2 linked regions of the Mytilus edulis genome follow. The protein of the gene in region 1 interacts with the protein of each later gene in a biochemical or structural test. Links are inferred from orthologs where the notes say so. Each region holds a gene or a part of one and is shown in the gene's direction. Other genes may lie near its edges. The genes, in order: next to BRCA1 gene 1 protein-like and microtubule-associated protein 1 light chain 3 gamma-like.

Region 1 (13,224 bases):
AAAGGCAAAACAAAAATTTTAAGTTCATTAGACCACATTCATTCTGTGTCAGAAACCTATGCTGTGTCAACTATTTATTATATTGATGTCAATATACAAACTACAACTATAGAAAAAAATTAAGATAATACTACTGCATGGATGTCAACATACAGTCTCAGACAATAGACAAGTGTCTTTCAAGATCTGTCCACACAAGCAGGGCATTAAAAAAGATAAAAAAACCTACCAGATATTTTTACTCCTGTTTTTATTAATCTCATTAGAATGTTAAAAAAGACAATCAACTGAAGCCAATTAAGGTAGGCATAAGAAATGATTGGTGAATGAAGATCAATAAAATAGATGATCTTGTACTTTTGATATATATGTAACAAAGAGGCTGCTGGCTTCCTTGTTACAGGGTCATTATTTTTTTATGTAAAATCATTAGAAAAACGTTGAGGTCAGCTAGAGATGCTGAAGACGTAAACTTAGCTCTGGCACTGAACTAATACCAAACTCACAGCAAGATTTTCTAATTTAATTCCAAACCAAAATCACATACAATGGTAAATGTTTCTATATTATGACTCCTACTGTAATAATACAATTCTATTGATGTTACTATCCTACTCTCTTCTTACTTATTGAATTAACAACATATATACTATTTTATCATGACAAGTTTTGAGTAAACGAATTCACTCTAATTAGTACAAATTCATAATTACAATTATGTCAACTAATAATACTGATGCTGATGAGAATGTCCAATTAATTACATAACATGTAATTAACTCAACTTGAACTTGTCACGTGATGATTTCTCTAAATTTATGACACCACAAATAATTAGAACTAGTCCAAATCTATACAAAATACTGAAGGTCAAAATAACTCAAAATGCCTCTATGACATATAGATTAAACTATAAACTAACTGTACATTATTTGAAGTTTGGATAGTTGTCCAAAAAATGCAACATTCTAACTAGAATAAATTAAACATGTATTTAAGAAAATGTTACTATTGCCTTTATTTAAGATGATAACATGAAGAAGAAGAAAACAAAAGAAAGAAGAGTTAACTAAAGTTTAAAAAGAGAAAGAGCTGTGAATACGATATACAGACCTGTAATATTTGTGGCTGTTCTTTATAGAGTATATTTTTGGGACAGTTGTTGTCCATAGTTTGATGTGTTTGAGCTTTTTATTTTGCCATTTAATGTGAGGAATCCTGTTTTTGAATTTTCCTTGGAATTAAGTAGTGTTGTTATACTTTTTCATACAGCAACATAAACAATAGAACTTGAAGACACATTAGGGACAATGCCAAAATACTGCAGGATATCAATGCAGTATTTGAGTCTCATCATAGTATAAACTACATGTAGGACACTGATGTGCATCCCAAAAAATACCTGAAACAATTTTGAAATCAAGAAAAATATAATTAAATTATAATTGGCAATATATGTGTATTAGGCCAATAAGGAAGATTTCAAGAGACGACCTAAGTCCAGCATCAACATAAATACTTTGAAGGGGAAAGAAATAAAGAAAACTACTAAGTAAATTGAATTTGACCAGGCACGTTAATTTCCTTACCCTTTACATATATGTATTACCTGTTTGTATCATAGAAAAGAATGCAGATACATGTAAAATATACATTTTCATGAATTATAAATGTTGTTGTAGTCGTCCTTCATGTAAAAAAATCAATGGGTTAGAAATCTGGTAACCAGGGGCGGATCTAGCCATTTAAAACAGGGGGTTGGGGTTCCCAACCTAGAGTAAAGGGGGGGGGGGGTTCCAACTATATGCTTCCATTCAAATCCATTGGTCATCCAAAAAAAGGGGGGTCCAACCCCCTCCCCCTCACCCCCTGGATCCGCCACTGGGTAACCATCAAGTTTCTGTCCCTTACACTTGAAAAACTGCTGGCCCAATGTCCAAACCTGACATTTACATCAATCTAACTTTTTGTGTGTTTTAGATTTGTTAAGCATGTTCTGTTGGTATAAATATAACTTATTTCTTATGAAGCACAAAATTAATCTTGAAATTTTATTGGTTATAACACCCCATAATAAAACAAAGTCCCCCAAATTTAAAATGTATATTTGAAAAAAGTTGTAAATTAAAAATCCCCCCTCCCCATAAATTAAAAAAACAACATCCAATTGAAATTTATCTAAATTATTTTTTTCATAATCCCCCCCCCCTTTTCACCACTCAAAAAATATATTCCTGAAATACCAGGATTTTTTTTTTTATTCATGATATGATGCAATAACCTTGAAATCTGATTGCTTTGGTTGGGTATAGGGGGGTATTTTAAATTTATAAAGATTTTTATCAATTTTTGAATTTGACCTTAAATAGACGTTGTGACCCTAACGACCTTTTATACACGTTGTATGTTTTCATTATGTGTGATCAAATGTCCATTTATGGTAATCACGATCCAATTTAACAGTTATTGATTTATCACGACCCTAAAATCCTGATGACTGACAGACGGACAGACGGGCCAAACGCATGACACCCCTGCTTCTCTGTAGCATGATGTATATATATTTGCTAGAGCCTGAGAATATAGATGTGAATTTCAGAAGGATATCTATTGAGCTATAATTATTTCCCATTAAACTTGAAAAATATATCAAGTTTTCTGTTTCCTGTGAAACTTTGTAATTCTAACTTACATGTCTATAATTATATTCACGGAAAAGATCATACATTGTATACATAGTTATGATGTTCCTGTCTACACGGTATTCCAGGATTTTATTTGTTTTACTTTGGAAAACAATCGTTTATTTTTCTTTTATCTGTTTGACAAAAATCATCCTGTTATATATGAGGCCGTGTTTACGGGATTTACAGAATAGAGAATAAAGAGCAAAATATATAAAGAAAATAGAATAATGGGGGGTGGGGGAGGGTGTGTGTGATAAAATATAAAGAAAATAGAATAATGGGGGGTGGGGGAGGGGGTGTGTGATAAAATATAAGGAAAATAGAATAATGGGGGGTGGGGGAGGGGGTGTGTGATAAAATATAAAGAAAATAGAATAATGGGGGGTGGGGGAGGGTGTGTGTGATAAAATATAAAGAAAATAGAATAATGGGGGGTGGGGGGAGGTGTGTGTGATAAAATATAAAGAAAATAGAATAATGGGGGTGGGGGAGGGGGTGTGTGATAAAATATAAAGAAAATAGAATAATGGGGGGAGGGGAGGGTGTGTGTGATAAAATATAAAGAAAATAGAATAATGGGGGGTGGGGGAGGGTGTGTGTGATAAAATATAAAGAAAATAGAATAATGGGGGGTGGGGGAGGGTGTGTGTGATAAAATATAAAGAAAATAGAATAATGGGGGGGGGGGGTGGGGGAGGGGGGGTGTGATAAAATATAAAAAAAATAGAATAATGGGGGGTGGGGGAGGGTGTGTGTGATAAAATATAAAGAAAATAGAATAATGGGGGGTGGGGGAGGGTGTGTGTGATAAAGTATAAAGAATAACAGCATAAATTAAAAAATTTAACAGTTTACGGTAACTTATATACTGGTTACAGGAAAAAATACAATGTCCAGAATACAGGTATCAAGTAATTACATAAAGCCAATTGATTTTTAAAAAGTTGAAGAATAACGAGCAATTTTTCTTTTAGATAGCAAATTAAGGACACCCCCCCCCCCCCCCCCCCCCCCCTCAAATCCATGTCTTATGTTTTCAGTTTTGTTAAAGTTTTGTAGCAAATCGTTATGGCTTTCAGCTTTTGTTATCATTATCTTGAATGACTGCAATCCCTAAAGTCTTTGATTTAACGTCTTACTGACGTGTGCTTGGTGTGGAATCAGCAGATACAAATTTTAAGTCGTTGGTTTTTCATAGGCAAGCCGTCATGATTGCATACATCCATTGACCAACCATTTATCTTTTGTGAATAGTTGTCTCATAGGCAATCCTACCACATCGTCTTATTTTTTATATGAATCAAACCTATGAATTCCCATACTCACACGATCTGTATGTTGAATATGTGTATGGTATATTTTTACTCTTAATACGACGCCCTCTACATCTCAACAGTTCATGGCAATCCTGTTTCTATTCGACTGCGTTTTGATAAGCAACTGGGTATTTCTGAATTATAAATCGAAACATATGTAACACAGATATAAAACATGAAACGCAATGAAACTTTTATAAATAACATTTGAAGTCACATTAACCGTTGGCCAAGACCACACATATATACTAATATAACCAGCTGAATGACTCCTCCGGGTGCGGGAGTTTCTCGATCGCTGCATCGAAGACCCAGTGGTGGCCTTCGGCTGTTGTCTGCTCTATGGTCGGTTTTGTTGTCTCTTGGACACATTCCCCGTTTCCATTCTAAATTTTTAATAAAACAAGAATAATAATAATATCTTTATTCGGGAAACAAACAAAAACAAATTTTGGTCATGGCAAATACATAGTAAAAACAAACATAATGAAAACAGTAGGTATATATTTATTGCAAATCTAATTGTATAAATCTCTCTTAACGACTCTGATATCAACTAGCTGCAGCTGTATATGGCAAAATTTTGGGTCTTCAAATACTTTTCCACTTAGAACTTTTTGGCATTTCTTTTTTATTTATTCAAGCGATACTTAGGAGTCTTTTGAAGACAAAACGCGATTTTGCGTACACAATTGTAATCCTGCAGCATCTATCATGAGTTCATTCAGGCTTGTCAGTCTATAGGAATAGAGTCATAATTGATTGATAGAGTCGTCTGTTGGTAGTAATTCCGCTGTTCAAAAGTTCAAATAATAGATTGAGAGAAAACAAATCAAAGTTACAAACTGAAACCGAGGGAAACACGTCAACTATATATATATAAGAGGAAAGCAACGAAACAACAAAAAACAAACGACAATGCAAAATACATAGAAACGAACTATTAGATGACAATAACTGCCGTATTCCTGATTTGTTCTGGACATTTTAAGAAAACATGGTGGGTTGAACCTGGTTTTGTGGTTAACCAAACCTCGCGCTATATGGCAATGTTGAATATATACTGGTAAAATGACAACTTTACATGACAGGAATACAGTACGAAATACAAGAACACTCAGGACAGAGAAATACTAACCTTTAACCTTTATCATGAGACACCTCAGTGTAGTGGCTGTTCGTGTGTTATAGGAGATACAAGGTCTCAGCTTTGAAATTTAAAGATGGTATATATATATACGCTTTTAGCTAGTGATTCAGTTTCTTTTCCTAGAAATTCCATTGCAATAAGATTTATTCGTTATTTATAGTGTTTACTTAAACAGCAATTAGCATTTACCATGTTTACCAAAAACAATGAAGACCAATGGGCACCTATTAAATTTATTACTTTGCCATGTTTGCATTAGGCATGTTAGAGGAACATGAGAACTCCTGATAAATCGCCGAATTATATTATGTACTACTAGATTATATATGGAAATTTTAAAATAGACACAGTTTTTAAGGTTTTAAATATAATCATAATAATCTCTAGCTATTGTCAAATGACAAATATAGAAGACGGCAACACGGATCGACCCCCTTAACACGAACCTTGACAAAAAAAAAAACAATTACCAAAAAAACACAATTTGGTTTTCCGGATGGGTATATAGAAAACTTCCTTCTCTACATACATGACATAATATTAGATATATATATTAAACAAGTCAAAGAAATTAAGATATAACAAAGATTACAGCTATATATATATAACGTTATACAGATAACTCAGTGCATTTATTATAAAAATAAGAAGATGTGGTATGATTTGGGGGAAAAAAGTTTGTTTCTAGTTTTTGGAGAAAAAAATAATTTGTTTTTGGTTCTGAGAAAAAATATTGTTTGTTTCAGCCCCGTGATATAAAAGGGGGCCACAATGACGTACAATAGTAAAACAATAGAAAACTGTTCAATCATCTATAAATCAGATTTCTAGAATAATCGAAATGAGAATTTGGGACGGCAAGTATGTTGTCACGTCTAAATTCGTCATGTTTCAAAACAGACGTGTCATTAGCGATCAATGTTTACGTCACTCAGATAATTTCTAAAAATAGAAAATATAATATTAATGCGCTAGTATCTAATCCGTCGCATTAAAAATATTAGCTTTGCTTAAATAATGCTGCAGACAAAATCTACATATAATAAAATTTTGTACGAAATTTAGAATAACACATGCATATTTGTTTTAATTTTACGTGATTTTTATGGAAAATCGTCAACATATTGCACTATTTGTTCCTGTACATTCAGATTTGTGTTTAGATGGTAATGCGTCATATTTGTCAACAAGAAAGGAAGATGAAAGTATAATATTGTGAATTTCTCGAATACACATTAATTGGGAACATCGACACTTAGCCACATGGTAGAAATGGATGAACTTATTGCAATAAATGTGCGATACGAAGGGGACAACGAAGCCTCACAAATATTTCAACTAAATCCAAAGACACAATGGCGAGATCTGGAAGCCATGGTAAAGTCAGAAATCTTATGTCATATGACCTTTTTATGAAAGTCGTCAAACATAACTCTTATTTAACACGATTTGCATCATTAATAACGTTGTATTCAAATAAATACACTATTTAGATGAAATCTGAATTACTGTACTTAAAAACGAAAGCTGAATTTGAAATTATCATATATTTGCTCAATCAGCTGATCAACAATGACAACATCATGAACATGTCATGATCAAGATGCAGATTCAAGGCAAAGGGAATTTTATGTATGCCTGTTAATATTAAGTTGTTTTCTGTATGTCAATCACCTTGGCATGTCTGTAGGTAATTCCAGGGATGATTCCAGGTGTTTTCAAATGGGTCCCTTGAACATCAAATTGGGAACTTTTATTCTAATTGGGATTTTTTTAAGCATAAAATCTAAGACGAAATAACATTATTTTCCTGTAAAAACGGAACATGTATATTATTAAGTTCAACCTGTACACTGATGTTCATGTAAGTTGTAACATTTTGAGTAATTCCGGATGGGCAACAGTACTGTTATTACATGAATATCATTGAACATGATGCGCCAGTCTATCATCTTAGCTATAGTTACCTAGGCCTATTACAAAAACATATATTTCAGCTTACATAAACCACTGAAAAAAGCAGTTACAAAAGTTCATATATATAATTGATAATATATTTAAAGCATTGAACCAGTGTTCTTTAAAATTATTTGAATCATCTTCAAAACTTGTGAAATAGTTCCATAATGATGACATCGTATGATATGAATGGTCTATCATCAACATTATCTTCAAAAAACGCTCAAACTTTTGTCAATTACCAGGCTTCTCACAAAAGAAATCAAAGTTACTCAATTTTATTATGGCACAATATATACACAAGACAAACAGATATATTTCACAGCACAGGACAAACACTCGACTATACCACTGACAGTCACATATAACATGTAAAGTTAATGTTAAAGAGCAAATATAGCGTCTAGCCATTAGAAATGATAAATATATTCATCCAAACAGCTCGAATAAACACATGAGCTAGCCGCCAAGCCAACGGCCGCCAAAAAATAAACAAACAACTGTGTTGAACAAAGAATTAAGCAGATTAATTTTAACTATCATATAAACAATACACAATTTAAGCTTGTTAATCTAGCATGCAAGAAATAATTTCAATGAAAAATTTCAAATGTACCGCGAATCCTGAAACAAAGAAATATATAAGAGCGTCCTGTATCCAGGTAACAAATTGACCAATCAAAATAAGGAATACTCGGAACAATTTCTTCCGAGTAAATATAAACAGTGATTCACGTGGTAATTATCCATTTTTATAAAATCAAAAATTACACTTTTGAGGAAATAATTTCTTTTACAAAACAAATTTTCATCATATTATATAACCGGCTCTGCTGGGCGATCTGCTTTTACAAGTTCGGCGCCCATTTAACTTTATCCATCAATGTTATATCAAAATTTTTTTTTTTTTCTGACGAGGTCTGCTTTGACACCCATTTTTATCAACCTGCTGGGCGATCTGCTTTTACAAGATCGAATACTCCTCATGCACTGCTCCTATAACATATTAATCAATTGAATTCGGATGATAAATTTTTTTGCCACATTTTGACATAATTAAATCATTGTTAATAAAATGCGACCGTAAACAGCATCTTTATCCGGATTTTAAAATGTTTTGACAACAAACTCTGAAAAATTATAGTTGCCTTAATTGGTGACAGAAACTTTTCCGAAAATATTGATTTTTATTTTATTTTCCTGAATTGGGAATTCATTTTCATGTACATTTTTTGGGGGCCGCTGGCTGATTTAAGGGCCGCTAAGTGGCCCTAAACTATATAGTGGAATCATCCCTGAATTCATTTCATCTCTCATAGAGTCCTCCAATTTATCTAAACATGCTAAAGAACTATATATATATACATTCATTTGACATTGTAGTACTGGACTACTGCACACAGTAATTTCATAATATTTTGGATAAAGCTTCAACTTAATACTTAATTTATTTGTTGCTCAACTTCTTCTTTATTCTGTCAAACCAATTTAATATTTCCTTCTAAAATAGTAAAACTTTTGTGTTTAAAATTTATCAAATAAATAAAATCATGAAAATTCAATTTAAAATTTTTCAATGTCAATGAAATGTTTATTATGTTCAAATTTCGAAAGTTTTCAGATGAAAAATGTAGATACATTGTATTTTGTGAAACCAAGTATAATACAGACATTTTCAAAAGGTCATCATGGTCATAGATATCAGGAATTAAATAGAAGATAAAACAAGACTCAGGCTTAAATTTAATCTAAAACACTTACATAATATGATAGCATTTTTGTACATGTATGTAAATTGTATGTTGTCTTTCAGTTGAAGGTCCAGTATGACTGTGAAAATGTGGAGGTATTCTATGTGGATACAGATGGTGACTATGTAAGTTTGATAACATATGCCTAAGTTATTTTTTCCTGTTACAAAAATGTATACATAGTATAATATTATATAAGTCTTACAATACATTAACTAATCAATCTCAATTAATTCAATAATTGTTTAGGCCAAAAAAAATATATGTCTGTTTACGGTTACCTGACCAACCCTATTTTGAGCGCTGACCCTAAGCCATTTTATTTCCGTCGTAAAGTGAATAATAAACTGAACTTGAGTTAAAAGTGAAGATAGTGTTGCCTGATACATCCCAATGTTCATAATCATGAATATGATAGCTGTTTTAAGGAAATTCGCAACTCCTGTGATGAAAAAAACATTTTGCCGCCATTTTTTTCCAATCAATAACAAAGGGAAATAATCCAATCATTAAAAAAAGGGGTAAACTCGGCCGATGGACAACTCAGACCACGGCAAGACGGACTGCACAACTCAAAATCATGGCACAAAAATAAAATGGAAAAAAATAATAAAATGGAAATACCGACCTACCTACCCTATTTATTTTGATGATGTAACCTTAAACAGGCATATATTTTGTTTGGCCTTACCATAAAAGCCAGTATAGATTGCTGAAATAACATTCCATTTATGATTTATATGTACATTTTGTACTTCTTTCTTTCTAAATTTTTTCTTTGAAAACTAGCGTAAAGATTACAATGAATGAACCTACAACATGTACAATGGATAAGGTTTATATTTCAAAAGTTGTGTGTACATGTACAAATGTAGTAGTAAACTGTGAGACAAACCTTGTTTTATGATCGTTTTAAGACTAGCAATAAGAACTCAACCCAAAATATTTAGGTTCTTATTTGTGGGTATTATCAGACTGGAAGGCACAATAATGTAAGAATTGCTTCAAGCAGAATAACAACATCAACTTGCTGTCTTGCTGTGTATTGTAGACAAAAGAATATCTAATTACAGATACATAATCTGGTTTATAAATACATCCAGATAATTAGCCATGTGTCAGTTATTATAAAATATAGACTCAAATTTGAATGAAAAAAACAAAACACAATATATCAAAGGGCGATATTTTTTTGCGCCAAAAAGTAACTCATTTGCGCCACAACATAATTGCGCCAATACTTCTTTTGCGTCACCTGATTTTCAAAACTGTAGGTATCATTTGCGCCAATAAAATAATCATCTAATTGCGCCAATTCTATTTATTTTTATTTATATAACAACTAAGTGATTGACTTTCTTGATCGTTACACAATACAAAGTCATCATCTGTGTTTGTAACAACACCGATATCATTCTGTGAAATTCTGCTTGATTTTTCACTTGAGCAGGATGCAGTTTTCTTTTCTCTCTATTTATATACATTGACTGACGCACATAATTTAAATCTTTCTTTTCTAAATTTTCTTCTTCAATTTTGAAGAGCTCTGAATTTGTTATTTTTGAAGGTCGCTCTGACATAATATCGGTTACTTTTCTTTTGCATGCAGTTCTCAAAATTTGACGTTCTAATTTCTGGACATTTAAGTTTCATGAATATGATCTAATTCTCCATTCAAAATAATTGTACACGATTCATAGATCTGTGAATAACCTCGCACAACACGACTTAACTGTACATCTCCACCTTATTTCTCCAGTTTCCTTTACAAATGCCTGATGGAATTTGTGTTCTTCAACAATGACGACCGGTTTTCCTCTATCAGACTCTATTTTCTTGAATAGTTTATCAGACATCTTGACTCGTGAACAAACATTCTATTACTAAACAATTTATTTTTTGGTGAGTTTTCTTAAATTTGATGAAGTGTTCAGTTAAATCTTAAGTGGAAAGGTTAATTTTAGTACATGTATGATAGAGGTAAAACATGTACAGGTATGATATAGGTAAACAATATTTACAGGTAAATGTGGCGCACTTTCATTTCATTTATTGGCGCAATTAATACCATCAAAATAAAAGAGAGTGGCGCAATTAATATCTTTTCAAAACTGCAATTGGCGCAAATTGATTCTGCCCATATCAACATAGGTCTAAGGTATGTCTAATGTCACTGAATTGTAAGCAGATCCTGCTCCACCAGTGGCACCCATCATAAAAATTTCTAGCTAGGTAGACTTACTTTCAGCAGACACCTGTTACGTGTGTAATGAGTCAAAATGATGACAAAGTACATTTTTTTAATTGTAATTTAATCAATTACATTGAAAGTAATCAGACCCATCTCTGGTAATGACTTCTTGCCCACAATCTGTTTTGCTTTTCTTATTTAGATTATTTTAAGCAGTCAAGAGGAGTTAGTAGAAGCTTTCAAAGTAAGTACATTGATGAAAGATTTTCTGTAGAGATTCAGTTTTGTTAGCAGCTGAGCTTTTATGAAATGTTAAGCATGTAACAATGTTAAATAGAAGTCAGATCAGCATGATCAGTGTGTCGTTCCCTTTTATTATATAGTTAAAAATGAAAGATCAGACATGAAGACAGGTAAAGTTGTATTTACCTTAGCTTTAACATTTTTAAGTTTAATAAAGTTCAAGTTGCATATTAATTTATTAAAACTATGCAGTAAATGTGCAATGTTGGGTAATTGTCCCCAGTGAAAACACATTGAAATAGGAGGGGGTTAATCTGTCCTTGCTTGTTATTGCTATCAGTTGTACAATTCTTGTCAGACTTTTATGACACTTAGATCATATTTCAGCAATGTCTTAGATGAGTTCGAAAATCAGGACTGATTAGATATTTGTAAATACATGAAATAGTTATGCCCTTTGGAATAATGAATTATACAGGAAATTGCATTGTATGCTCTGAAGCCTTCATTTCTATAAGATATTTATATAAATTGTTTTAAGGAACAAAAAAATGTTTTATTTAGTTAGTAACCTTAAGCTTGTACTTGGCAGTAATTTGCAATTGAATAGAATAAGATCAAATATGTGTAATTAATGCAGGGGACATTGGAACAACTTTTTATGGCAAATAAAAACAAAAGCTGAAACATTTCTGTAACTTTTGTTTCAGGTTGCACAGAACTGCTCCAGTACTCTACATCTTAAACTCAGAAACTTTACAGGACAACCAGTAGAGCCAGAAACACACAGGGGAGATAATTCTCTACAGACACCAGGTGGAGACACTGATGTGAAGATAATGATGGAATCTTCTGTTGACCCCAAATCTGAACATCGGCAGAACACAGAAGCTCAGAAAGAACAAGAAGGAGATTCTAGTGAGGCAGAGTTAGAGAAACTAGAAATGTGGTAAGTAACTATTTATATTCATTATTCTATTCTTATTGAAATTTTTTAGTTGTTTCAGGAAAAAATATACATGTATGAGCTGAAGAAGTGTCTCTAAAGGCATCCATAGAATCTGCTGTATATACATACCAAAGGTTAAAATATGTTCTGAACATAACAAACAACCTAAGAAATGTATACACAAGTGCCTACATCTACCCCAAGAATTTTCCTGGACATCCCATACATATTCTAGTCCTCACGAAAAACTTTTGAGTCTATTGGTCTATAGAGGTGAACATAGAATGGTCGGCCTATTGTTGAGTGGGAAGACTGATATTCATGTTTTCTTGCATACTAGAATTAGGAATAAATATGGGGAATGTGTCAGAGAGTCAACAACCTTACCAAAGAGCAGGCACAAACATAAGGCCACTAATGGGTCTTCCACAAAGCGAGAAAATCTTGCACCCAGAGGTAGGTTTCAGCTGGTCCTCAAACAAAAATATTTACTATTTCAGTGAATATGGACATCACACTAAACTCTGAAACTTATAAGTGAACTAAAATTTAAAAAAAACCCAACATATTAGACTAACAAAGGCCAGAGTCCCTGCTTTTAATAGGATAGAACAAAAATGTGTACATTGGTCTAATGTCTGTTTCTTTGTCTGTTTAAAAAAAATGTTTACTTTAAAGAAAATAATCAAATACCCAAAAAAATAAAAGAAATGATGAATAAAGAACTGATCCATACTGTTTTGTAAGATAATGCATTTTCTTAAAATACACAGGCTCCATGAAGATAGTAAGCCTCTGATAAGATCTAAAGAAGTAGAAAAACAAATGGCACCAACTGTTGACATTGTTACTCCATCAGAAGATGAGAAGAAGGAGGCTGGAAAAGTGAAGCCATCTGATGGACAGAAAGATGAAGAGACTGGAGTAGTTTATGTCAAGGTACTATAGTTTTTCAGTTGAATTTCAAAAGGCCATGTG
Region 2 (13,345 bases), on another chromosome or scaffold:
GAAACAATAATTTTATACTATACAATGCAATACAATGAAATACAATGTAATACAATGAAATACAAAATAATACAATACAATATATGGAAAAATAGAACATTAGAGTTCAATTATAAATGTATGTAAAAAACACCATCATAACCTTGCCTGACATGGGTCTGACTCCCTCAGTTCTAAAGACTGTTTAATGAAGACTCCAATATGACAAACAAGTTCAGGGATAGGGTTTAGAATGTGTTTAAGTTTATTGAATGCATCAAGATGCTGAAATAATGGTACATAGTCTTTTAGATAAACAAAAAGATTAGAACGCAAATATGTGTTAATGTCACAATACAAAAAGAAATGATATTCGTCATCTAAGACTTCACATTTTTTACATAATCTTTGTGCTCTCGGAATGTTTCTGTACCTTCCTAATTCAATGCCTAGGGAATGATCACTTAGTCTAAATTTTGAGAGTAACTGCCTATGTATAAAATTATTGCAATTTAAATATTCCTCAGACTGACAATTATTTTTTAATTTCCCATAAAGACAAAGTTTGGATGAGGAATCCATTTTTGAAAGTTTAATTAAAGTATTTTTTTCATATTCCTCTGAAACACACTTTTTTATATTACATTTTAACATGTTTTTTGATTGTTTAAAAGGTACATTATTATTAGAGTAATTTTCTGGGTTTATTTTCATTTCTTTAAAAAATTTATCTGCAAATGAGTACCAAGAATAAATTCCTTCTGAATGTAAATTTATGTTTGTTTGTAGAGATTCTTTAACCAGGGGATTAATATCATTACAATTTATTCTATAAAAATACATGAGTGTTTGAGTTTTTATATAGGAGTCCAAAGTAAATCTACCTAATTCTGATCTAGCACCTATGTTAGTGGCTGTCTTTTTCAGTCCTAATACTGCTTTACAAAATTTAGAATGAACCTTCTCAAAGGGATATTTTTTCTGCTAATGCAAGAGTATCACAAAATGTATTATTTACTGCAGCTCTATTAGATGCTCTATAAGCTGACTGAAAATTATCCATAAACCAAATCTCAGAGTTGTATGTCAAAATAGGTCTTATAAGAGTATCAAATAATTTACATGACAAATTAGTGGGAACAAAATTAAAATTTGACATATATTTTCTCAATAAAAATAAAACTTTAATGCCTTTTTTAGACAGCTCTTCAGTAGTTTTTGTAAAATTTCCCCTATAGTTAATAATATTCCCTAGAAATTTGAAGTCCTTAACTTCAGTCAAAAATTTATTATTAAACAAGAGGGGTGGGGATTGTTTATAAATATTCTGAAAAACTAGAATTTTAGTCTTGTTTGTATTAACACTCAATTGCCATTTAGTGCAATATTTATTTAGTTTATCTAATGCGTTTTGAAGCCCCTGGTGTGTCTCGGACAGTAACACTAAATCATCTGCATAGCTGAGAGTTTGGATACTTGAAGTATCAAGAACTGGAGGGTTACAATTTACATCAAAAATTGAATGTAAATCATTTATATAACAATTAAACAAAGTAGGACTTAAACTGTCCCCTTGTCTTACACCTCTAATTATTGGAAAAAACAAAGAGTGTTCATTGCCAATCTTCAGTGCAGACTGGGATAAACTATACATGTTTTTCAAAGTAGTATAAAATTTCACACCAACACCATCATTTATCAATTTATACAACAGGCCATTATGCCAAACAGAGTCAAAAGCACCACGCAAATCTACAAAACAAGCAAACAGCTTTTTCTTATTTTTTTTCAAATATTTAGTGACAAGAGTTTTTAAAATAAATATGCTATCAGATGTTCTGTGATTTGAACGAAATCCAAATTGATGACTGGAGAACTTATTTTCGTAATGCTTTACTAGTCTTTTATTCAAAATAGAGCTATATAATTTTGCTAGACAGTTTAAAATAGAAATGCCTCTATAGTTACATATGTCTTCTTTATCTCCAGACTTATGGATTAAAACAATAAATGCTTTTCTCCAGCTGGTGGGGTAAATACCAGATGATAAAATAAGATTAAAAAGTTTAACTATGGCTGTAACTGTAACAATGCTACTATATTTTATAATTTCATTAGATATTAAGTCAGGTCCAGAGCTTTTCCCTGATTTTAATTCTTTTATACAGTTCTTTACTTCTGATATTGAAAATGGACCATCAGTATAAATATTATGTTCTAAAGTACTCTCAAGCATATTTAAATCTTTTTTAACTTTTTCTTTAAAAGAGTTATCATATTTTTCAGCCTTACCAAGATTTTGAAAATGTTCTTCATAGTTATTTAATTTAATATTTGAACAATCATCCTGTTTAGTGTCTTCAGATTGTACAAGGTTCCAAGTTCAAAGTTGTTGACAAAAATTTATATGACGTCAGAGACCTTCTGACGTAAGGCGGAGGGATATAGACGGATAGCCTTGACTTACACAAGTTACTTACCAGCACACTTAATTAGAATAATAGAAATTGATTACAAAACAACCTGTTTTGTTTATACTTGGTATTGGTAATTATTAAAAAGTCAAAGAAAAAAGGACTATTTATCTGCGGAGTCACGCACTCCATCTAGACGACGTCATTTATAAATGTAAACAATTTGAATGATCAATGAAGGAGTTCCCCTCACGGAGAAGAAAATGGACAAAAATACGCCCTATTACCTTGATTTGAATAAACCAGAAGCAAAACAGAATGTCGGATATATTTATGGTAAGTAAACCTAGCTGTTTTTGTACATTTTTCACGACTTCATTTAACACCCTCTTTTTTAGAGGTCGACTTGAACATGTACACATGTAGCAAGAGGTAGAATCTATATAAGGGGGTGCTATGCCAGTGCTTTGTGGGAAAACTTTAGTTGATTTATTGAGGGAAACAGTACTGAAGCGTCCATCTCTAAAGAAGTCATGCAGTGCCCTCCCTATCTCATCCCCCTTATGAAACTTCTGGATATTCATGTCTTATTCTTACAACTTTTAGGGAAACAACTTTCCCAGGTAAAAAAAAGGGGAAGCTGAGCGCTCACATGTTAAAATTGGCAAATTTGGTTGATTATATAGGAATTACTGAACCTTGGCTGGAACCCCCTCCCCCTTTATGAAAATATCTTAATCCGCCACTAGACTGTTTAAATAAATACTGTAACAGGGTAATTTATGAAGATCTTTTTTTAAGATACTTCAGATACTTTTATTTCACTAATACATAGGCGTAGCAGGCCCATAAATAATGGTACGTTTTTTGGCAAATTAGACATATGGGACACGGAAGTGTTCCGCCAGCGTCTTACTGCAGAGGGTATGGGAGCCGCTCAAGGCCCCCAGAAGCTCTGGGGTTCATAGCGTTAAAATCCTGCATTCTAGTCGTTTCCTGCCACTAAAAATCGTTTCTGAAAAGCAGCATTTTTTACTCGACAATTTGAAAAAAATCAAGTATATTAATGTCTGTGTCTTGCAGGTTTTGTAGTTTGTTTCCATTTTTGTGTCATTTACAAAGCATGCAATTATTGCGCAAAATTCATTATAAAAAAAAATAAAAGGCCAGAGGTTCCTTGCTACAAGTTAGGACAGGCGCAAAATTGCTGTAATGTAAACTTTTAAGATAACCACTTCGTCAGTAGGGGGTCGTCTTGGCCTTGTAAGTTATTTTTTTTTGAAAATCATGCAGCGACTGTCAAGATGAAGTACTTAAATAAATCACTATGTTCTTGCAATAATTTGCATCTTGTCTATTTGTCAAGAGTGTTCAAATTGGAAAAATGAATGTTACTAGTACTAAGGAAATGACATATTTCATTGATCTTCAATCAATCACATGCATGGCGACAATTTGTTTTTCAAGGGAACGAGTTCAATTCAACCACTATAAAGAACCCTTAGTTCATATAAACTTTAAAATCAGTAATTGTGATATAAATGTAACGCTAAACGGGTCTTTGTTCTGTGTATTTTGGACAGTCATTATTTTGGATATATGTATCTGGGATCTAATCCTTCTTGCCCGTTTACATAAGGAAATAGCTATTAAATATTTCACCATATATATATAGACTCACTACCGTCTATATACTAGTAACGAAGTCTGTTTAATGTTCACATGTTTAATCATATAAAAGTACATGTATATATATGATATATTTAAAAGGTTCACAGCCCAGGTTCACAGTTATAAATTCCAATACAAAACGTTACTTAGTTCCAACTCTATAAAACAACATGTTACTTCATTATAATCTATATCGCAACTTAATTGTTACTTCAAGCTACTACACCAATATAAGTGATCAATGCAAAGTTTCTTACAAAATCGTGCTATGAACCGCTGTCCTTAAATTACATTAAACCTTGCTTTGATAAACGTCCAAATGTTATTACAATTCTACTATGCAACTAATGTACCGTACATGCAAACTGTCACATTTAATATTAATCAAGATGAAAGATCATTCAACAAATTAAGTATAATTGACCATCAAATCTTTGATGTAGTTGACCACGCCACATCAATGTTAAATTTGTGAAGTGTAAAATATTTACTCGCCTATGTATATGTATATAATATGTAGTTTCCATTTCTCGTTTCAGCATTTTATTTTTCAAACATTGGCTATACCTTTCATGTAACTATTTATGTGTTGCTTATGAATTTAATTGTAACACTTCTTAGTGACTGGTTAGGTTAAACCAATGCCTTCCTAGAAAACTATGACACCAATGAACAACACCAGTCTTTTTGCTGTTCCTGCTAATAATGTATGCATGGCTTCACTAGAAAAGGCATCAATTCTTTGGCTTTCCTGGTTGAAGGATTTGTTTTTACAACTCCAGTGTATACACAATTGTTACCATAGTATATAGTTGGTTGACCGTTATGGAATAACCGTTTCATAGATGATATGGGATATGTTTCTCACGTCATAACTACAATCCTCTTCCCTTTTCATGAATTTGACTTACTGTATAAAGCTAGTTAAATCGGGTTTGTAAAAACATGAGCAACCCGACGGTGCCACTGTTGGACATTTGGAGCAGTATCTGCTTACCCTTCTGGAGCACCTGAGATCATCCCCAGTTTTTGGTTAGGGTTCGTGTTAATTGCTCAGACTGTGTTTGTTTTCTATGCTGTTTCTTGTGTACTTTAATTTGTATATTTCATGTCGTGGTGTTATCAGTTTATTTTCGATTTATGAGTTTGCCTGTTCCTCTGGTATCTTTCGCCCCTCTTGAAGTCTATAACTTAGAGAATGATGAAAAATGATAGTTTTGCAATTCAAAATATGAATACAATATAAGGCTGGTTAGAATGCAAACCAATCAGCTTGCTTAATATCTAATAAGTGCCACCAAATATGCAGACATTTAAGACTGGGGCAAACCATACACAATAACACAAGCTTACTAAAAAACAGCTTGGTTTCACAATACTAGAATGTATGTAAAACTGCAATTCAATAAAACATAGATTGGTATACAAGCAATTAAAGCTTGTATGTATCCATGCAAGAAAAATAAGCTTTCACCGTACACCAGTGTTGCATGCAAGAATACCGTGAACTGAAAATGTCAAACAAATATGCAAACTTTTATGTTCCAAAGGGTATAGGATTATACGTTGGTATACCGACAATCAAACCCATGAATTCCATTGTTTTACAAGGGTTTATTGAAAAGCGGGTTAGTATACGGGAATTAACCCCTGAGTGTTGCAGTTAAGAATTAAGAGCTTTCTTTCAAATTCAAATGAAGTTGAAGGCTATACATAAGTAATTCAACCTTTTCATTTCACAATCATACACATCTCCTTATTTTCTAAGGGAGGTATGCAAACATAATTAAATAAGAAATGTTACTACTCAGTAAATACTTAGCATTCAGGCATACAGACTTGCCAATACAAACATGAATCCAGAATAAAATTTTAGAATCCATGAAGGCATACAAGTACCTAGCAGAAAAAAAGCCAAAATAAATTAAAAAAAAAATCGGTTTACATATCCCAGGTTCGTATACAGGCATACAGACCTTAACTATGCCAAAATAAATATATTAAAGGTTCTAAATACACCAGATTTGTATGCAGGAATACAGACCTGACAAATACTTATATACGCAGAAAGTGAGAGTTTAACATACACCAGGTCGGTATGCTAGCATACAGACCTGACAAATACTTGTATGTACATAGAGTGAGTTTTTAACATACACCAGGTCAGTATGCTAGCAAACAGACCTGACAAATACTAGTATATATGCATAGAGTGAGAGTTTTGCATTAACCAGGTCGGTATGCTAGCATACAGACCTGAAAAATGCTAGTATATGCATAGAGTGAAAGTTTAGCATTAACCATGTCGGTATGCTAGCATACAGACCTGAAAAATACTAGTATATGCATAGAGTGAGAGTTTAACATACACCAGGTCGGTATGCTAGCATACAGACCTGACAAATACTAGGATGTGCATAGAGTGAGAGTTAAGAATTAACAGGTCGGTATGCTAGCATACAGACATGAAAAATGCTAGTATATATGCATAGAGTGAGAGTTTAGCATTTACCAGGTCGGTATGCTAGCATACAGACCTGAAAAATACTTGAATATGCATAGAGTGAGAGTTTAGCATTAACCAGGTCGGTATGCTGGCATACAGACCTGACAAATTCTAGTATACACATACAGTGAGGTTTTAGCATACACCAGGGTGGTATGCAGGCATACAGACCTGACAAATACAAGTAAGAGAAAAAAGACTTAATTTAGCATTCTTTTCATTGAAACATCTGAAATAAAGATGGGTAAATGCTATGTTATGTATATATTTCAAAAATGACATAAAAGTATAACAAAAATGCAGAATGAGTATCTTTTTAAGGTTTATTTACTTGAACTATTTCCTTGGTGTTAAAATAGTTCATTCTAGCATCCTATGAAAAAGGTTTATGATAAAATGATGAAATTTTGGTTCGCATTTACAAAGAAAGATCACAAATCTTGCCAAAAGATGACAAACAAATATTGTTAATGCTATACAGTGAGTTTTTAACGCGAAATATATCAATAATCCCAAATGTTGTAGCCTTTTCACACAAAAATAAGTTAAGTGGCATATGAGAATTTCTAATTTTAGATGAGAACGTGTTCAAATGATGAATACTTTTAGCTAAAGATGAATATTGGATGGGGGTTCTGTGTATTTACATTATTTGTACAACTCTCCTTACTGATGCCATATTTTGGAATTTCCGTGACCTAAATGGTTCGCGAAAATTAATATTTTTTATATATAGTATAGTAATAGTGGTGGGCCGAGTTTGTTATAGTCCGAGTTAGCTTTAGGCCGAGTTATTCAGCGGCGTATCCTAATACCAAATAACGACTATGATTTTCTCTGAACCTTGGGTTTTACGTCATAACCAGCTGATGACAGATTGAAAAGTGTTCGCAGTTAGATACACACAATATTAGTGGTAACATGCCTGAAAGGCAGTATAATACGGCCGAGGGGGCTAAAACATTCAAACAGAGAAAGAGTTTTTGTAAGTACACGATACAGCAAAATATAAAAATGCCAATACAGTAATCGAGTAATGACAAAGTTTTCCCAAGTTATGACAGGTACATTACAGTTCATCATAACAAACGGACAAATATGGCTGTATTTACATGTCAAAAACCTGGGTACAGACTTACCTGTGAAGTTGGAAATGTTTTCATGCATGGCATCCACTAGATATATTAAATTTAAATGCATAATTTTTGTGTTTCAGAAAGATCTCTTTTGGATTTTGATGGGCATTTTTTTCCCTTCATGCATGAGGTGTGAAAATTAACTATTAAAGTTGTGGTACAAGTTTGAGTAGCTGTGCCGCAAATAGTCAAAAAATAACATAAGGACCTAAGAGCTACGGTTCCGCAGCTAAAGTTTGAGATGAGCCCTTCAGGTAAAAACCGGTTTGTATTGTTTTGATTGTCCTCAATTGACATGGACAAGAGGTATCTTCACACAACTACAGGTGAATTATTCAGTTAAAGAGTTTATCTGAGTCAGTGAGTGGACAGTATCAAAGCTGAGACTACTATAACACATAGTAGTCTCAGATCAAAGTTAATAAATTCAGGTGTTTGTTTATTTTTACACCTTCTGCAGAAAAAAAAACCCCATCAAAAACCAATGCATTTAACTTTTATATATTTAGTGGATGCTAGGCCTTAAAACTTTCCAAACAGCACAGGTAAGTCTGTACACGGAGAAGTTTTTGAGGTGAAAATTCTGCCATATTTGTCCATTTGTTATGATGAACCTTAAAGAGTAGGGGAAAAACTAAGAGAAGACATGGTTATCGATTATTTGGCCATTTTCAAATATATAAATCTTGAGTTTCATTTCAAGGAATGTTAACACCATCAAGACAGTGTCTATTCAGAGACATGTATTTATGTCTCTGGTCTATTCTATTCTTTCCATTGCCAATATTTTATTAGTATTGACAGAAATCAAGTGCCTGTGCTGTGACCTAATACATGCCTAATGTAAAAATAGGATAGGTATTAAGGACCCAAATAGGACCTACATGTACTGAAAAATAAATGAAAATGTGCAAAAAAGTTATATATAAATACATGTGTGATACATGTCATTAAGAATGTAAACTCAATGTCATATGACTATCCCAAATTCTACCAATCATGCCAATAAAAATCATAGGAGGTCAGTAAAATGAAAGTCAAATATCAGCATCTTAAACGAAGTTGGAATGAATTTTACAAGTTTCTTTAAACTTTGAGTACATATTGTATCTCAAAAAGTCAGCAGTTTAATATATGTTTTTGAATTAACAGTTTTAAAAAGTTTGTTTAAGCAAAACTAATGTTAAAGCATTTGCTCAGACTTATTTATTTGATAGACAAATTCAACACTATTATGCCATTGTGACGGGCTTTGCCAAAGATTTTGTTGAATTTATGATAATGGTCTCACAAAATATTAGTACATTGTAATTTGTACTAAAAAAAATACTAAAGCATAAAGACATCATTACCTCAAAATGGACTGGTGAGGGTCTGGATGGTATGCAGAATAGAGAATAATGTGCAGAACTTAATTATTGGAATTCAGCTGCATATACATTTTCTCCAGACAAATGCTCTAGAATGGGATAAACTGAAAAAAGATACACGTCAACCACAAATCCTGATCATGTTCACATATTCTGAATAGAAACAGCTACAAAACATTTATGGGTATCCCGGTAAACATACGATCAGACCTCAAATAGAATACCGGTAACAATGAAGATAATATCAGATTGAATGAAAGATGACAGCTGAATATTCTAAAGCAATGTTTCCTATCCATGATTCCTGGTAAGGTTTGTTCATAGAAAAGGATGGATTTATGGCCTCCCATAGAATAATATTTGAAGGTTCAATAACTTTCTTATCATATTGATCATTACATAATAAAGTGGAGGGAGTGAACCTAGTTCCAAGAAAGATACAAGCTTGTCGTTGCTCTAAAGCTCACAAACCAAAAACACTGTAATTTTGTTCATTAGTCATGTTAATCAGTACAGTGTATGTGTTTTCATAACTTTAGTTTAAGTGAATAGAAATCTATGAAATTTAGACACAAGGTTTATGACCACAAAAGGAAGGTTGGGATTGATTTTGGGAGTTTTAGTTCAAACAGTTTAGGAATTAGGGGCCAAAAAAAGGCCAAAATAAGCATTATTCTTGGTTTTCGCACAATAACTTTAGTATAAATAAATAGAAATCAATGAAATTTAAACACAAGGTTTATGACCATATAAGGAAGGTTGGGATTGATTTTGAGAGTTGAGGTCTGAACAGTTTAGGAATTAGGGGCCAAAAAGGGGCCCAAGTAAGCATTATTCTTGGTTTTCGCACCATAACTTTAGTACATGTATAAGTAAATAGAAATCTTTGAAATTTAAACACAAGGTTTTTGATCATAAAAGGAAGGTTGGGTTTGATTTTGGTAGTTTTGGTCCCAACTGGTTTTTAGGGATAAGGGGTGCAAAGGGTCCAAAATTGAACTTTGTTTGATTTCATCAAAAATTGAATAATTGGGGTTCTTTGATATGCCGGATCTAACTGTGTATGTAGATTCTTAATTTTTGGTTCTGTTTTCCAATTGGTCTACATTAAGGTCCAAAGGGTTCAAAATTAAACTTAGTTTGATTTTAACAAAAATTGAATCCTTGGGGTTCTTTGATATGCTGAATCTAAAAATGTACTTAGATTTTTGATTATTGGCCCAGTTTTCAAGTTGGTCCAAATCGGGGTCCAAAATTAAACTTTAGTATAAGTAAATAGAAATCTTTGAAATTTAAACACAAGGTTTATGACCATAAAAGGAAGGTTGGGTTTGATTTTGGTAGTTTTGGTCCCAACAGGTTTTTAGGAATAAGGGGCGCAAAGGGTCCAAATTGAACTTTGTTTGATTTCATCAAAAATTGAATAATTGGGGTTCTTTGATATGCCAAATCTAACTGTGTATGTAGATTCTTAATTTTTAGTCCCGTTTTCAAATTGGTCTACATTAAATACCAAAGGGTCCAAAATTAAACTAAGTTTGATTTTAATAAAAATTGAATTCTTTGGCTTTTTTGATATGCTGAATTTAATCATGTACTTAGATTTTTGATGATGGGCCCAGTTTTCAAGTTGGTTCAAATCAGGATCCAAAATTATTATGTTAAGTATTGTGCAATAGCAAGAAATTTTCAATTGCACAGTATTCAGCAATAGCAAGAAATCTTCAATTGCACAGTATTGTGCAATAGTAAGAAATTTTCAATTGCACAGTATTGTGCAATAGCAAGAAATCTTCAATTGCACAGTATTGTGCAATAGCAAATATTTTCAATTGCACAGTATTGCGCAATAGCAAGAAATATCTAATTGCACAATATTGTGCAATAGCAAGAAATTTTCAATTGATTGGAGTTATCTGTCTTTGTCCAGAATAGTAGTTGAATCAACTTAAATCATTGTTTTATTTAGCTTCTAAAGGCAAATAGATTTGTTAGATCTTTGACCACATTTATTTTGTGACAGAAACATATTATGTCAAAAAATATGATCACAATCCAAATTCAGACAGTATCAAGCTTGAAGATTGTTACCAAATTTGACCCGACTGTTCAGTGTTTGACCACTGCGGTCATATAAAGCTGCGCCCTGCGGAGCACCTGGTTTTATACTGTCATGCATTTTTGTCTATAATCAGACAAATCTGATGTACAGTGGTTGTCTTCTGTTTATGTATAATTCATACGTGTTTCTTGTTTTTCATATTTATTTAGATTAAACTGTTGATTTTCCCATTTGAATGGTTTTACACTAGAAGTTATTTTGGGGCCCTTTATAGCTTGCTGTTCAGTGTGAGCCAAAACTCCGTGTTGAAGGCCGTTCCTTGACCTATAATGGTTTACTTTTATAAATTGTTACTTGGATGGAGAGTTGTCTCATTGGCACTCATACCACATCTAAATTCTTCCTATATCTATAAAGCATTGTCATTCAATGTTGCCATAATTTCATGTAGATGCATGATATTTTATAAATATGCATGGGTCTTGTAGATGACCAATTTTAGTAACTTTAACATTGACTTGTAGGAGTCAATTCTTGCTCAACATTAATTGACTTGTTAAAGTAGAATGAAATTCAAAACAGTGTGGCTGTGGCCATTGATTGACACATTAAATTCATCCATTGACTGGGACAATTTACGTGAACGTTTGTCTGTAACGACCACTATTCACGATGTACCTACGATAGACATTTAAACTGTGGGGTCACCAAAGGTTTCTTAACGCCTTTAATTATAAAATAATTCCAAAAATTAATCAGGAATAACCTTTATGTTTTGATTTATATAATTGATATAAATCAAAACATCGTGTTATTTCTGATTAATTTTTCGAATTACTTTATTAAGGTGTTGAGAACCTTTGGTGACCTCATAGTTTAAGTGTCTTTAAAAAGTACATAGTGAGCAGTGGTCGTTACATACAAACGTTCACCTAAATTGTCCCAGTCAATGGATGAATTTAATGTGTCAATCAATGGCCACAGCCACACTGTTTTGAATTTCATTCTAATAATTTGTCTTAAATTAAAGGGAGACAAATCTTTTAAGTCTACAAATTTAGACCTCTATGAGCCAAAAGCAGATTCAGATCTATATATATTTTCAAAAAACATCATTTAAACGATGAGAAATAAGATGGTTAGTTTTAACAGATTATGTAAGCATTGTTTATGTTTCCTTACAACAATGTTTTTATAACCGTCGCTCACGCATCACTGGTTCTATTATTGGCAACTCGATATACATCAGTTTTGTCGGACGAACAGGTAATTCCTGTCAAACTAGATAAATCATGTGCATTAATTTAACTGAAACATTTCAATACTATAGTTAACGTTTCTTAATACACACGTTATCATTCACGCGAATTATTAAAGAGACATCGTTATCTGAGAGTATGAGAGTGATAACAGTAAACATCTAAAACGCCGGACGAAAGTCTAGAAATAAAGAAGAACGGTTAAAAATAAAGAAGACATCTAACTTCTTGTCTTACATCCAATTTTCTGTCAAACATCTATAGTTAAAGATTACTGGTTATCTTTTAACCACAGTCCATTTTTCTAGATGTTTTATGGGCTTCTAGATAATAAGCAGGCTCTTTAACCAAATGGCTTTCCCAGTGAGACTTATTTATGACATTTATGTCTGAGCTCTGACTGGTGAGGTGAGAGATTCTTTTGTCATTTTTCTTTTACTCCATGTAGAAGGCCTTACTTTGACTTTGAGATGAAGAACAGCAATACATCCTTTGCACTGTTCATTTAATGATGTTGTGCCATATTCTTTGTTTTTCTACTATCATGATTATACAGAAAGTTGTACAAATTGTTTTTGGTCAGAAGACACATTGTGAGGTGTGAATGTTCTGGGATTATTGACTGACTATAAATTGTATCAGGTTGATCAGATATACAGATTGTTATTATTGCAGTGCAGATACTGTCTCCTACAGTCCATGTACTGATAGTTTAATAAACAAACTTTATATTTGACAATGACCTTATATCTTTTGAACTAGTGATTGTGGGTGATTCACTCTGACAGATATATATATCTTTATACTGCAACTGTGTATTTGCACAGTCAAAATGCATTGACATACACATTTTGTCTTTCACTGATGGGATAAAGTCAAATAAAAGACTATGAAAAAATTGATCAGTGACTAACAGGCTATTATTTGAACTTAAAATTATTTTTAATT

The links.
Region 2: the proteins of next to BRCA1 gene 1 protein-like (region 1) and microtubule-associated protein 1 light chain 3 gamma-like form a complex in vitro, tested with the Homo sapiens proteins (2 studies listed by IntAct). The link is inferred for Mytilus edulis from reciprocal best matches to the Homo sapiens genes NBR1 and MAP1LC3C.

What each region holds. Positions count from the first base shown.
Region 1 is NC_092357.1:35,894,570-35,907,793, reverse strand, and holds the start of next to BRCA1 gene 1 protein-like, read left to right. Parts: upstream 1-6,144; 5' UTR 6,145-6,416; coding exon 6,417-6,530; intron 6,531-8,925; coding exon 8,926-8,988; intron 8,989-11,256; coding exon 11,257-11,298; intron 11,299-12,007; coding exon 12,008-12,246; intron 12,247-13,019; coding exon 13,020-13,185; intron 13,186-13,224. UniProt on the Homo sapiens protein: Ubiquitin-binding autophagy adapter that participates in different processes including host defense or intracellular homeostasis.
Region 2 is NC_092346.1:23,185,455-23,198,799, reverse strand, and holds the start of microtubule-associated protein 1 light chain 3 gamma-like, read left to right. Parts: upstream 1-7,363; 5' UTR 7,364-7,491; coding exon 7,492-7,555; intron 7,556-7,591; exon of another isoform or gene 7,592-7,606; coding exon of another isoform or gene 7,607-7,634; intron 7,635-13,345.